Linked DNA regions of Callithrix jacchus. The protein of the gene in region 2 purifies or fractionates together with the protein of the main gene of each other region. This does not show direct contact. Links are inferred from orthologs where the notes say so. Each region holds a gene or a part of one and is shown on either strand. Other genes may lie near its edges.

What was found. Proteins that work in one complex are often made in the same cells at the same time.
Region 1: the proteins of RSU1 (region 2) and PARVA purify together in Homo sapiens (affinity purification with mass spectrometry; 3 studies listed by BioGRID and IntAct, counting the BioPlex papers as one, with this or other methods). This does not show direct contact. The link is inferred for Callithrix jacchus from reciprocal best matches to the Homo sapiens genes RSU1 and PARVA.

Annotation. Positions count from the first base shown.
Region 1 is NC_133511.1:78,369,278-78,375,241, forward strand, and holds part of PARVA (alpha-parvin), read left to right. Parts: intron 1-3,352; coding exon 3,353-3,442; intron 3,443-3,520; coding exon 3,521-3,591; intron 3,592-5,311; coding exon 5,312-5,414; intron 5,415-5,964. UniProt on the Homo sapiens protein: Plays a role in sarcomere organization and in smooth muscle cell contraction. Required for normal development of the embryonic cardiovascular system, and for normal septation of the heart outflow tract.
Region 2 is NC_133508.1:17,646,529-17,653,071, forward strand, and holds the start of RSU1 (ras suppressor protein 1), read right to left. Parts: upstream 3,521-6,543; intron 3,490-3,520; 5' UTR 3,487-3,489; coding exon 3,378-3,486; intron 1-3,377. Other genes in the region: uncharacterized protein LOC103794109, read left to right, coding at 3,521-4,156, 5,134-5,148. UniProt on the Homo sapiens protein: Potentially plays a role in the Ras signal transduction pathway. Capable of suppressing v-Ras transformation in vitro.

The sequences.
Region 1 (5,964 bases), on a different chromosome or scaffold from region 2:
AATATTTCTTGAGTGCTTACAATGCTTGAGGTGTTGTTTTAAGTAATAATAATAATAGTAGCATATATTTACCTATTTCTTAGCGGCTGCCAGGCATGCTTCTGGGTATTTTGCATATATTAACTCATGTAATCTTCTCAGCAACCCTAGGAGGTAGGCCATATTGCTATAATTCCCATTTTGCAGATAAGGAATCCTAGGCTTGAGAGGCTGATGAACTTGCGCAAGGCCACAGAGCTGGTGAGTGGTAGAGTCTGGATGTGCATATAGGCAGCCTGGCTTCTAACCACTGTACTGTCTGGCCTCTTTGGGGATCTAATAGCGAACAAGAGAGAAATAGTGCCAGTCCTTACAAAACTTATGTTCTGGTGAGGAGAGAGTTAACAAACATATAAATTATTATTTCAGATCATGATGAGAAAATAAAACATGAGAGGGAGGTGAGAGTGCTAACAGAGTCTGATAGGTCATAGATAGGAGTTGAGGTGTTATTCTGAGTATGATGGGAAGTCACTGGAAAGCTTGAAGTAGGAGAATGTATTGATCCTATTTACGTTTTTATAAGACATTCTGGCTGCACTGTGGGAGGTAGATGAGAGCTGGGGAAATGCAAGCAAAGCAGCAGACCAGTTAGCAGGTGGTTCTGATAGTCCAGGCAAAAGATAACGGTGGCTCAAGTCAGGGTGGTGGAGCAGAGAGATGGTGAGAAGTGTTTGGAATTGAGTCCTGGTTTGGAGGCAGAACCCACAAAACTTGCCGGTGTTTCATATGGATGCAAAAGGTGAGGAAAATGAGAACTTAAGGGTGATTCCTCGGAGCTTGGTGTGAACCATGGTGTAAACAGTGGTGCCATCTACTGAGGAGGATAAGAATAAAGGAAGAACAGGTTCGTTTTAGTGCTGGTATCGTGGGTGTGAGGGTGTTGAGAATCTCAAGTTCTGTGTGGATGTGTACATTTGAGAACTCTATTAATAGACTTAAGAGGAAACATGGAACACACAGTTAGATTCATAAGCCTGGAGCCCAGAGCCAGACCTAGGCTGGATATTTAAATATGGACGTGGACATTAGTTGAACGGGATGACCTAGGACAACATTTTCCACTTGATCTTTTTTTTAAATGTTATTTTTTAATTTTCATTTAAGTTCAGTCGTACATGTTTGTTACATAGGCAAACTTGTGTCCTGGCAGTTTGTTTTATGGATTGTTTTCTAAATGCCCAGCAACGACAGGCTGGATAAAGAAAATGTGGTACATATACACCATGGAATACTATGCAGCCATAAAAACAGAACAGGATTATGTCCTTTGCAGGGACATGGAAGGAGCTGGAGGCCATTATTCTTAGCAAACTAACACAGGAACAGAAAACCAAATATGGCATGTCCTCACTTAAATCATGAGAACACACTTGATGATCTTGTGATGGAAGCTTTCTACATCCTTGCTGTCTAATATTGTAGTGCCGGCCATCTGCAGCCACTGAGTGTTTGAAATGTGGTTGGTGCAGCTAAGCAGCTGAATTTTTAATTCATTAAAATGTAAATAGCTCAAGTGGCTAGTAGCTACTGTATTGGACAGTGCAGATCAGTGTAGCTTCAGGAGAGAAAGTCCCAGGCAGGAGCAAGTTCCTTCACTAGCCAGTAAGCCTAGCCTTGTAGCCACATTTAAACATGACTTTATTTCCGCTGCTCACAGCATGCATGGCAACGCTTGTTAACAAAGTAATGAAAATCGTGCTTCTTTGTGAGGAATAGCCTGGGAAAGAAAGAAAACTGGTAGTTCTAGGGGAAATATTAGAAGAAACTAAAGAAGTCTAAGGAAGCAGTTGTGCTTAGCTAGAAAACAAACACAATCCAGTACCTACAGAATCATTAAGCCAGGGGTGCTCAATCTTTTGGCTTCCCTGGGCCATATTGGAAGGAGGAAGATTGTCTTGGACCACACATAAAATACATGAAACACTAATGATAGCTGATGAGCTAAAAAAAAAACAAAACACACACACACACACAAACTCCTGATAATCTCATAATGTTTTAAGAAAGTTTATGAATTTTCTTAAAAATTCTGCATTTTTGGGCTGCATTCAAATCCATCGTGAGTCACATTGCAGCCTGGGAGCTGCAGGCTGGACAAGCCTGATTTAAGCTTTGAAGGTATCCCTTCTGTGTTTGTTACAATTTATGGAGAATGCTATGAAATGGTGTGTGTCTGTGAATTTGGAGATTCAAGGTGGTGACTGGCTGGTACCCTCTATCAATGTCCAGGGCCCACTACAAAGGTACTAAATACCAGCCTCGTCATGAGAGTTGTGTCTCTTCAGGGTATAGTCTGTTTCACTCCCTTTGTCAGTCTCGTTCCAGTACAACTGCGGCTATCAGTGAGTGTGCTGATGTGAAAGAACTCTTTGTAAGTGGCTGCCTTGTGCTTAGGATTTCTTGCAAGTCTATGCTGGCACTTGGTGAGGCCAGAGTCAATAAAAGCAACGTCCCATCTTTCCATTTTATTTTTTTAATTAAGGTTGATGGCAGCTGCTGTGTTAGCTCTTTAAGAACCTCTTGGTGACCAACACCTTCTGAGAAAATGGCCTTTCTGTGCTTAATTGGCGAAAAGCAAGGGGATTTAAGTCACTGCTTTTAGGAGGGGTAATCCAAGGTCAGCACTCACCGAATGTCTGTCACACAACTGGTTTTGTAGGAGGAATTTTTTTGTACTAAGCCTCCATGTGGGGACTGGGCACTTGGAGGAGAGTACCTCAGGTCCCACAGCTGGTTCCATCTGAAGGGATAGGACCAGAACTCAGGGAAGGGCTGGGACCAAGGTATTTTTGAGCAGTGTCTGGGGTTGGGTGGAGGTGGGAGGACAGATAATCAGGAGAGGTGAGAAGTCAGAGGAGGCTGGAGCTGAGGATGGAAATGCCTTACAGGATACATATAGCCTCAAACCCATGACCCTGTTCATCCTGTCAGCAGTCACTGGGCACCAGACAGAAAGTCCTGGAAGGAGGGACGGGCAGGAGGCAGAGTCAGAAAGAAGTCAGCGCCCACCTCGCTTCCGTTTATTCAGAAATCTTTTCAGAGAGGAGGGAGATTTCTGTGCTGTTGAGACCTCCCTGTTTCCCTGAGGAAAGCAAGTGAGGTGACAATTGGCACAGGTGAGATTAAGGGGACAATTAGGTCCTGTCAGCCAGGCGAGGCCGCGAATTGATCGTAGGCTGAGTAACAGCTGTAATCTACCCTTAGTGGGTATTTTTCTCAATGTCAATATCCAACACCCTTGTTACAGAGCTCCAACCCCCTGCCGTCTGTCGTCGGCTGAAATGTGACCCTGCTCTTCCTTTTCTTCCAGTGTCTGAGCTGCAGGAGGAGGGAATGAATGCCATCAACCTGCCCCTCAGCCCGATTCCCTTCGAGCTGGACCCCGAGGACACGATGCTGGGTAACTGTGCTCTTGTCTCTGAATTGGCTTAAGCTTTCCAGTGCCAGCACCCCCACTGAATTCCTTTTCTTTTTAAAGAGGAGAATGAGGTGCGAACTATGGTGGATCCAAACTCACGCAGTGACCCCAAGCTTCAAGAACTGATGAAGGTAAGAAGAAATCAGGAGTGCCTTCTGGTGCCTCACAGACCCACCAGGTGTCCATATGCCACCTGCTGTGAGCAAGCACCCCGCGAGCCCCTCAGAGAAGGTAAAAAGTCATGGCAGCCCCTGCCTCAGGCTAGCAGATGGCCATGGAAAACAACTGATTGTGTAAGCGTGGAGCGTGACAAATGCCCAGTGAGTGGTGCTGGTCATAGCACCAGACAGGTCAGTACAGGTAAGCTCATGTTGGCCAGGATTCCAGAGTGTACAAAATGCTTATTTTCTCAAGAACTCTCAAAAGCATGCACTGGAGTAGAAATTAGTCTCATTCCCATTTTCCGGATGACAAAACCAAGTCTCAGAAAACCCAAGTGGTTTGTTTATGATCATAAACAAGGAGACGGAGTCCAAGCAGAAATAAAGGAGATGAAGTGATATACTGTGCATAACAACTGCATAGTGGCCAGTGTGCGCCTGTCCTTCTAAAACTGTTCATTTCTCCCCTGCATCTTGTTCCTCCTCTTGAGCTTAACCAAGCTGCACTTAAGACAAAAGGCATTCAGGCCTGTTATTCCAGCACTCTGCGGAGGCTGAGGCAGGTGGATCACTTGAGCTCAGGAGTTTGGGACCAGCCTGGGCAATGTGGTGAAACACCATCTCTACTAAAAATATAAAAATTAGTCAAGTGTGGTGGCGCATGCCTGTAGTCCTAGCTACTCAGGAGGCTGAGGTGGGAGAAGGGCTTGAATCTGGGAGGCAGAGGTTACTGTGAGCCGTGATCCTGCCACTGCACTGCAGCCTGGGCCTGTCTCAAAAAAATAAAAAAAAAAAAGCACTGGATGTCAGAGCAATTCATTCCCCACGCAAATCTGAATATGCACTTCCCCAGTGCAAGACCTGTCAGAGTTTCCCATCCACCACAGGTTGTAGGCCACTTCTGGAGGTGGTGTTTAGAGTCTGTGCTCTAACTGCCTCTTCAATCTCAGATCAGCCGCTACCCAGCAACACAGGGATGCCAGACCTGCTCCTCCCAGCAGCCCATGCATGCTCCCAGCACTCCTCACCGCCAAGCCTGGCTAATGCAGTCCCCTCTGACTAGAATGCTTCTCCTGCTCTTCATCTGAAAGTCTCAGCATGGCTACCTGCTCCAGAAAGCTTGCTCCAAACTCTAGTGCCAAGGCTCAGCCCCTCTGCGGCTGCTGTGGCCCTGTCCTTAGCTCTCCAGGTCCCGTTACAGCATCTCATGCACTTCACTAAATGGTGAGCTTCTTGGGGTTAGAAACTGTCTTTTTTGTCCATCGTCGTTGCTTGCCATTAGAGTAAGGAATAACAGGGGCTGTCAATATTAACAGGGACACTGGTGCCAGCAGCACTAGCAGGATGCACATCTGAAAATTAAGAAGGCCAATAGGGCTCACACTTGTAGCTACCTGTGCACACACTGGGTCATGTGGCTAGTTCTGCTTCTTTTAAAATCTGAAGTTCAAAGCTGGGCAGTGAAACGCACCCACGGTCCCAGCTTTACAGGAGGCGGAGGCAGGAAGATCACTTGAGCTCAGGGGTTTGAGTCCAGCCTAGGTGACATAATGAGACCCCGTCTCTAAAATAAAATGAAACTTAAAATCTGAAGTTCATTTACATTTAATTGTTCAAGATAAGAAAGTTGGCCTATAAGAAAGTACCCTATGACTTTTTTCTTATTCTTACACATTCTCTCTCTCTGTAGGTATTAATTGACTGGATTAATGATGTGTTGGTTGGAGAAAGAATCATTGTGAAAGACCTGGCTGAAGATTTATATGATGGACAAGTCCTGCAGAAGCTTTTCGGTAGGAGAGTTGAGCGCTGCAGTGGATGTGGCTTTCATGGCAGGTGGTTGGATCACCTACTTGTAGCTAGAAGGAGTTAGTTATGCTCAGTTTACAGTGGCTTACCTAGAAATGGACTATAAATGTGTGGAGTGTGGAATAATAGCTCAGTGAAGACTTTAGATATACTCTTAGAATCTGTTTCACATGAATGAATTGTAGAAGAAGTCTTCATGACCAGATGGGCCTGCTCCTTCTAGCAGCCGAGGGTCATCAGCTAGATAAAAGGACCCCGCTATATATTTATAGCTAGGAAGTATACCTCCCCCACTCCAGAAAAGCATGCATGTGTGGCCTCTGTAGGTATATGTACATGTGTGGGTGTGAGTATGAATTTTTAGATCTCCATCACCTTCAGATGCATGTGTATGTGTTTATTCCTCTGTGATCTGTGGACTTGTCGGTGTTTGTGTTCCTTCCTGGGTCGCTTTGCAGCTGTTCATATGAAAATGTAAGGACAAAGGGGAGAGAAAGGAGAATTCTCTTTCTTTATGGGTAATCTTAGTGATGA
Region 2 (6,543 bases):
GCAGTGAGCCGTGATTGCACCACTGCACTCCAGCCTGGGTGTCACAGCAAGAGCCTGTTTGCAGAAAACAAAAATTCTTATACTAAGGTAGCCATGTGAACTATTTTAATACTTGCATATATTAAGCATGGTGACACTGTGTATGCACTCCTGAGAACTGAGTCCTGGTGGAGGCTCAAAAGAGGATTCTGGAACTCTCTAGCCTCCAAGGAGTCCCGCGGTCAGGGAGTTTGCAGAAAGCAGCCTTGGGTCAATGATACAGAAGCCAGAGAAGGTGGACTATGGAAATCTCCAAATTCACTTCCACCCAACTTCCCAAAAAAGTACTGTTATTCTTCGTTAGCTACTTCTTTAGGAAAATTTTAGAATGATCTTGCTTTTTACCACCCAATGTTATACTGGAAACGTACTTTTTCAGGAAGCAAGTGGCTATCTTTTCTTCCTTAATAAAAGCCAAGGCTTCAAAGAGATAACGGAGCCAAACCGAAATAGCTAAGCCACTCTGCCCATTTATAAATATTACATAAAGTCTCTTCAAAAGCCGAAGGGTATAAAAGCTCCTCTGCTGAAAGCAGCCTCTCTCTCCTACATGGTGAGAGCAGGTGCTGGCGGGAGCAAGGCTGTGGGGCCAAGACTCACACTGTACCAGGCATCCCCTTCTCTTTCTCCTCCTATCAACAGTGCCCCCAGTAATGACCATGATCATGGCAGAGCCAGGCAGGGGCAGCAAGGGGCACACCCAGATCCTCAGTTCCAGAGACATCTGCTCTGTTGCTGACAGCAAGGACCCTTATGGAACGCAAGAGACCAACACACACCAAGGCTGAGAGGCTAAACAGTACACAAAGTTGAATGGCACATATTTTCATTAAGGCCACAAAATGCAAATCATCTACGTTTCCTCCCTTTTCCTTCTGCCAAGACGTAGCAATAGCATCAACTCCGATCTCTGTCCCCGTCAAAACCATGGATTCACAGTAAACCTGACTCTACCATTCTCTCCACACCTAACTGGGTATCCGTCACCTTTCACCTCCCTTCTTCTCACTTGTCACATCCTGGACCTGATCTCACACACTCATGGGCCTAACCCATCATTCTTTCATTTTTGTCATTCCTCAACTATTTTTGTGCTCAATCTACTGTGCTCCAGGCACTATTATAAACCATGAATATTGCACAGCTTTTGTCTTCCCAATGTCCCAGTGGAGAAGAGAGACTTCTAGATTAAAAAAACAAAATCATGGCCAGGCCTGTGGCTCACTTTGGGAGGCTGAGGCGGTCGGATCACAAGGTTGAGAGATAGAGACCACCCTAGCCAACATGGTGAAACCCTGTCTCTACTAAAAATACAAAAACTAGCTGGGTGTGGTGACGCACACCTGTAGTCCCAGCTACTCAGGAGGCTGAGGAAGGAGAATCACTCGAACCCAGGAGGTAGAGGTTGCAGTGAGCCAGGATCACACCACTGCACTCCAGCCTGGTGACAAAGCCACACTGTCTAAAAAAAAAAAAAAAAAGGGGGGGGGCCGGGCACGGTGGCCTGTAATCCCAGCACTTTGGGAGGCTGAGGCTGGTGGATCATGAGGTCAACAGATCGAGACCATCCTGGTCAACATGGTGAAACCCCATGGTGAAATCTCCACTAACAATACAAAAAATTAGCTGGGCATGGTGGTGCGTGCCTGTAATCCCAGCTACTCAGGAGGCTGAGGCAGGAGAATTGCCTGAACCCAGGAGGCGGAGGTTGCGGTGAGCCGAGATCGTGCCATTGCACTCCAGCCTGGGTAACAAGAGCGAAACTCCGTCTCAAAAAAAAAAAATCATTACAATCCTATGTAACAGGAGTCACAAAGCAAGGCACACATCCACCTTCACAGAAGAGGGAGTGGCTATGTTAGCTTGGTGCAAAGGGAGATTTAACACAGGTGGTGATGTCTAGCAGACTCTTAGAAGTAAAAGAATTTCAGGTGCAAAAGAGTGAGAAAGAGAGAAAACAGAATTCGCAAAGGCACCAAGAGCTGAACGAGTAGACTCTCATCCAGGAAGGGCAATAGGTTCCAAGTGACTGGAATGCCAACTGCATGGAAGGATAAGGTTGTGTTCAGATTCAGAAAGGCCTTGAACGCCACCCCAACAAACCTGGAGAAATGTGGAGAGGGTTTAAACCCAAGCCATGTCAGCCTGAAGAAGTGCTTTCACTCATCACAGGTTTTTCAAATGTTGGAATTAGTAGCCAACAACTAAAACTTAGCAAATTTCATATAAAAGTATAGAATCAGGTCGGGCGCAGTGGCTCATGCCTATAATCCCAGCACTTTGGGAGGCCAAGGCAGGTGGATCACAAGGAGTTCCAGCAGTCAGGAGTTTGAGACCAGCCTGGCCAAAATGGCAAAACCCCATCTCTACTAAAAATACAAAAAAGTAGCCAGGTATGGTGTCATGTGCCTGTAATCCCAGCTCCTCCAGAGGCTGAAGCAGGATAATTGCTTGAACCTGGAAGGCACAGGTTGCAGTGAGCCGAGATCGCACCACTGCACTCCAGCCTGGGTGACAGAGTGAGACTCCATCTCAAAAACTAAAAAATAAAAATATAAAAGCATAGAATCTTGGCTCCTTTAAGAAAATAATCTAGCACACTGGGCCAACATTCCTATGGTGACACGTGTCTGAGAAGCAGGTGCAGCAGCTGGCCCCTTCAGGTGGCATACGTATTACGGAGTTCATGACCGCCCTCACTTGAAGGCATGTGAATTTGCAATCCCTGATTTTAAGAGAGAGGATAATACTATAGACCGGCGGAGGGGTAGTTTACAGGAAAATAACACTGAAAGTGATCCAGTGATTAAACTGCGCAGTGAAACTGAAGGGCAAGTTAGGAGGATTTCACCACAGCATGAGGAGGTAACAAAAGCCTGAGCCAAGTTAGAATAAACACTCAAAAGAAAGTAAAGATTCAAGAAATGCTTAAAATGCTCCAGGCACAAGAATGCTTATTAATGATGCAACTCGTGTGTGTCATCTGTTCATGGACAAAGACTGTATTAGGAGACGGAAAGACTCAAAATTAATTCTCAATTAAAAAATAAAGTGGCTATTAAACTGTGGAAAATCCACTCCAGTGCCATAAAGCAGAGACAACCGATGAGGCACAGCTGTCTGTGTAATTCTCATCGTGGACTCTCAGGATCGCTTTCCAGGTGGAAAGGAACAAACACACCTGCAAACCCTCTGCGCGAAGCCCCTGAGAAGTGATGCTTACAAGCAGAGACTGGGGTCTAAACCATTATAATCTCTCTCAGCAGGACTAACAGTGACTTGGCAAACTTAGAAACCCTTGCAGCTCATCCACGGGAGGGTCCTGCCCGAAAACTCACACAGGCCGTTGACATCCAGCATGTTGGAGATGCCCCGGTCACTCATGTCCACTTCGGGCTGGTTCTTCTCCCGGCTCTCCTCCACCAACTTCTTTAGGGACTTGGACATGGTCTGCAGCAAACAACAACAAAGCACGTGGGCGATGGCAGGAAGGTCAGGAGCGGAAAGAGGCCTTGGCTGCCACTCTGGGGCTTCCCCAGGGTTGGAGAGGGTGGGCGTCCGAGGGCGTCCCCGGAGCTGGTCCGGGTGCTGGAAGAGAATGGGGCGGGGCAGGGGAGTGGGAAGGATCCAGCCCCGATCCGGCCACGCAAAGAGAAGCAACCCCAAGTGCAACGCCGCACACACTCACCGCGGAGAGCAGCCCCTAACAGGGTGGGCGTGCAACCACAGGCTTCAGCAGGACGCACTCCGGCGGCGGGAGATGCCTTGGTTCTCCACAACACCGGTACGGAACAGCGAACACGCCCTGTCTCGGCACTCCGCGCAGGCGCACACCGCGCCGCTGCCAGCTCCACGCCCGACCCTACCCAAATTAGGAGAACAGCTTGCTAGACGTGGCTCCCGGACCAGGCTCCACCCTTATAAGTATGTAGAGGAGGATGGCCAATCACGTTTGTTACTCGCTTCGAGACCCCGCCCCACGCCGAGGTTAGTTAAATTCTGTGGCGTCCACGCCGCGGCTTGGCACTCTGATTGGGTGAAAGTTGGTACGTGCACCCTGGATTTGGCGCATGCTCAGTTGGTAGGTCGCAGCCCAGAGGGCTGTGGGCGGAAGCGGGTAAGATTTTTGACTCGACTGAGTAAGGGAAGGTGGTGACAGAGGGTGGGTGTGGCAAAAGCTGGGAGTAAATTGTCTACAAATGTTTCACTTCTGTAATTGCAGCTCCATTCTCCAGAAGCTGCTACCCTGAGTCCTATCTCCATATTGTGTCTCTGAGTGATCCTGTGGGTCACGCAGCCTCCCTCCCTATTAAGAGCTCCTCCAGGTAGGGATTCCAGCGCGGTCTGCGTTTTCCCAGTGCCCCACTGGAAATCTTTTTTAACATCTTGTTGGTTTCTAAGGCTGGCTTTTACCCCTGACCCTTTTGCTCTTGAGCAACGAGAACTACCCTCAGGGCTAGAAGCTACAAGTAAAACCCTACCATTTTAAGTCATTTGAAAACACCACTAAAGCGATGCGTCTTTCCCAGTTGTGACTTTCACATCTGTGAAACATTATATTCTTGTTTACAGGAATCTCCCGCTGTCTCTTCCAAAAGCAATCAACTTTTGAATTCTAGCAAAACTGCTGCCCTCTACCTCCCTATTTCCTGACCCAGTCTCAGACATCCAGCAATATCCTGTGCTGCTCTCACCCAAAAACCTGTTCTGAAAGACAGTTACATGCTCTGGAACAGATTGGCAGCAGGCACTTTTCTCCTTTGTCACCTACATTGATGATAGACGGACGGATACCACACATATGCATTTATATATTGTAGATTGTAGTAGGGATCAAAGCCTTCAGATGCAGTAAAATAATGTAATCATAACTCTGAAGCAGTTGTATAAAAAAAGATCTGCACTCTTTTTTTTTTTTTTTTTTTTTTGGTTAAAAAACATTTCAGATGAAAAGGTTATTTCTGTATTAGTCTTCTTTGATCTAGAGCTGTTCCTTGGCTTTTGTATGTATTGAACTAGACATTATTAAAGAGTACAGACCAGGTATTGTGTGGAATATCCTTTAAAGTGAGTTTGTCTGATGTTCCCTTTCAGGATATGAATTTTTGAAGAAACACCACTAAAGCGATGTGTCTTTTCCGGTGCATATCGAGGTGCAGATGACATTGGTTTCCCCCAGTATTGGTGATGTTCACTTGGTAAGGTGGTATCTGCCAGATTTCTTCACCATGAAGTTACTATTTTTTTCTTTATGATTAAAAATGATGCTTGGGGGTAGGTGCTACTTGGTTATGTCCCATTCCTCATCTAATTTTTACCCACTAGTTTTGGCATCCACTGATTTAATCTATATGTATTAGTTGGTAATCTCCTAATACATATCTCTTGAATCATTATATCTTTTAAAGCAAAAGTGCTTTTAAAAAAATCAGAATTTTTCTTATTCCATCAATTTCTTTTTTGTTGTTGTTGTGACGGAGTCTTGCTCTGTCGCCAGGCTGGAGTGCAGTGGTGCAATCTCAGCTTATTGCAGCCTCCGCCACCCTGGTTCAAGCCATTCCCCTGCCTCAGCCTCCCAAGTCGCTGGGACCCCAGGCATGTGCCAGCAAGCCCAGCTAATTTTTAGTATTTTAGTAGAGATGGGGTTTTACCATGTTGGCCAGGCTGATCTCAAACTCCTGACCTCAGGTGATCTGCCCTCAGCATCCTAAAGTGCTGGGATTACAGGCCTGAGCCACCACGCCCAGCCTTGTCCCATCAGTTTCTAATAGTGAATCTTGACTATGTAGGCTGAAGACAGTAATACCTGTGTTAGTCGGCTTGGGCTGGCATAACAATATACCACAGACTGGATGGCTTAAACGACAGAAATTTCTCACAATTCTGGAAGTTCAAGATCAAGGTGCTAGCAGATTTGATTTATCCTGTGGACGCTCCCCTTGGCTTGTGGATGACTTTTTCTCTTGGTGTCCTCCCAGGGCATTTTATCTGTGCAGTCACACTCTTGGTGTATCTTCCTCTTCTTATAAGGACACCAGCCCTATGGGACTACAGCCCAACTCTTGTTTCTCTGTATTAACACCCTTCCTAAGTATCACTGAGGATAATAGTTTTTAAACCTCTCTTCTGTTCACTAAATTATGTTTCTTCAAGGGTCCATTCTTGTGTGTGTTTATCTCGTCTTTCCCCTAAAAAAGAAAGATTCTTCCTCTCTCTGGTGATTGATTCTTGGTTGTTCTTTTGAGTTCAGGTGTGAAGATCTAAACTGATTTTTCTAGGTAGCTGCAGTGGTTTCTTTCCTCTCTTGTTTGTATTTTGTTTTTCTCCTTGGTCCCTGGGATAATTGTTGGATTTCTTTAGCGGCAAGAATCCAGTGTTCTGCCTGCAGGTCATTGCCAGGCTACCTTTGCTGCTGAAGGGAAATGGTGGATTGTGAGTGCCAACTGAGGCAACTCCATTACTTTGGTTTTAGCTCCACACACTGCACCTGCCAGCCCCACATCC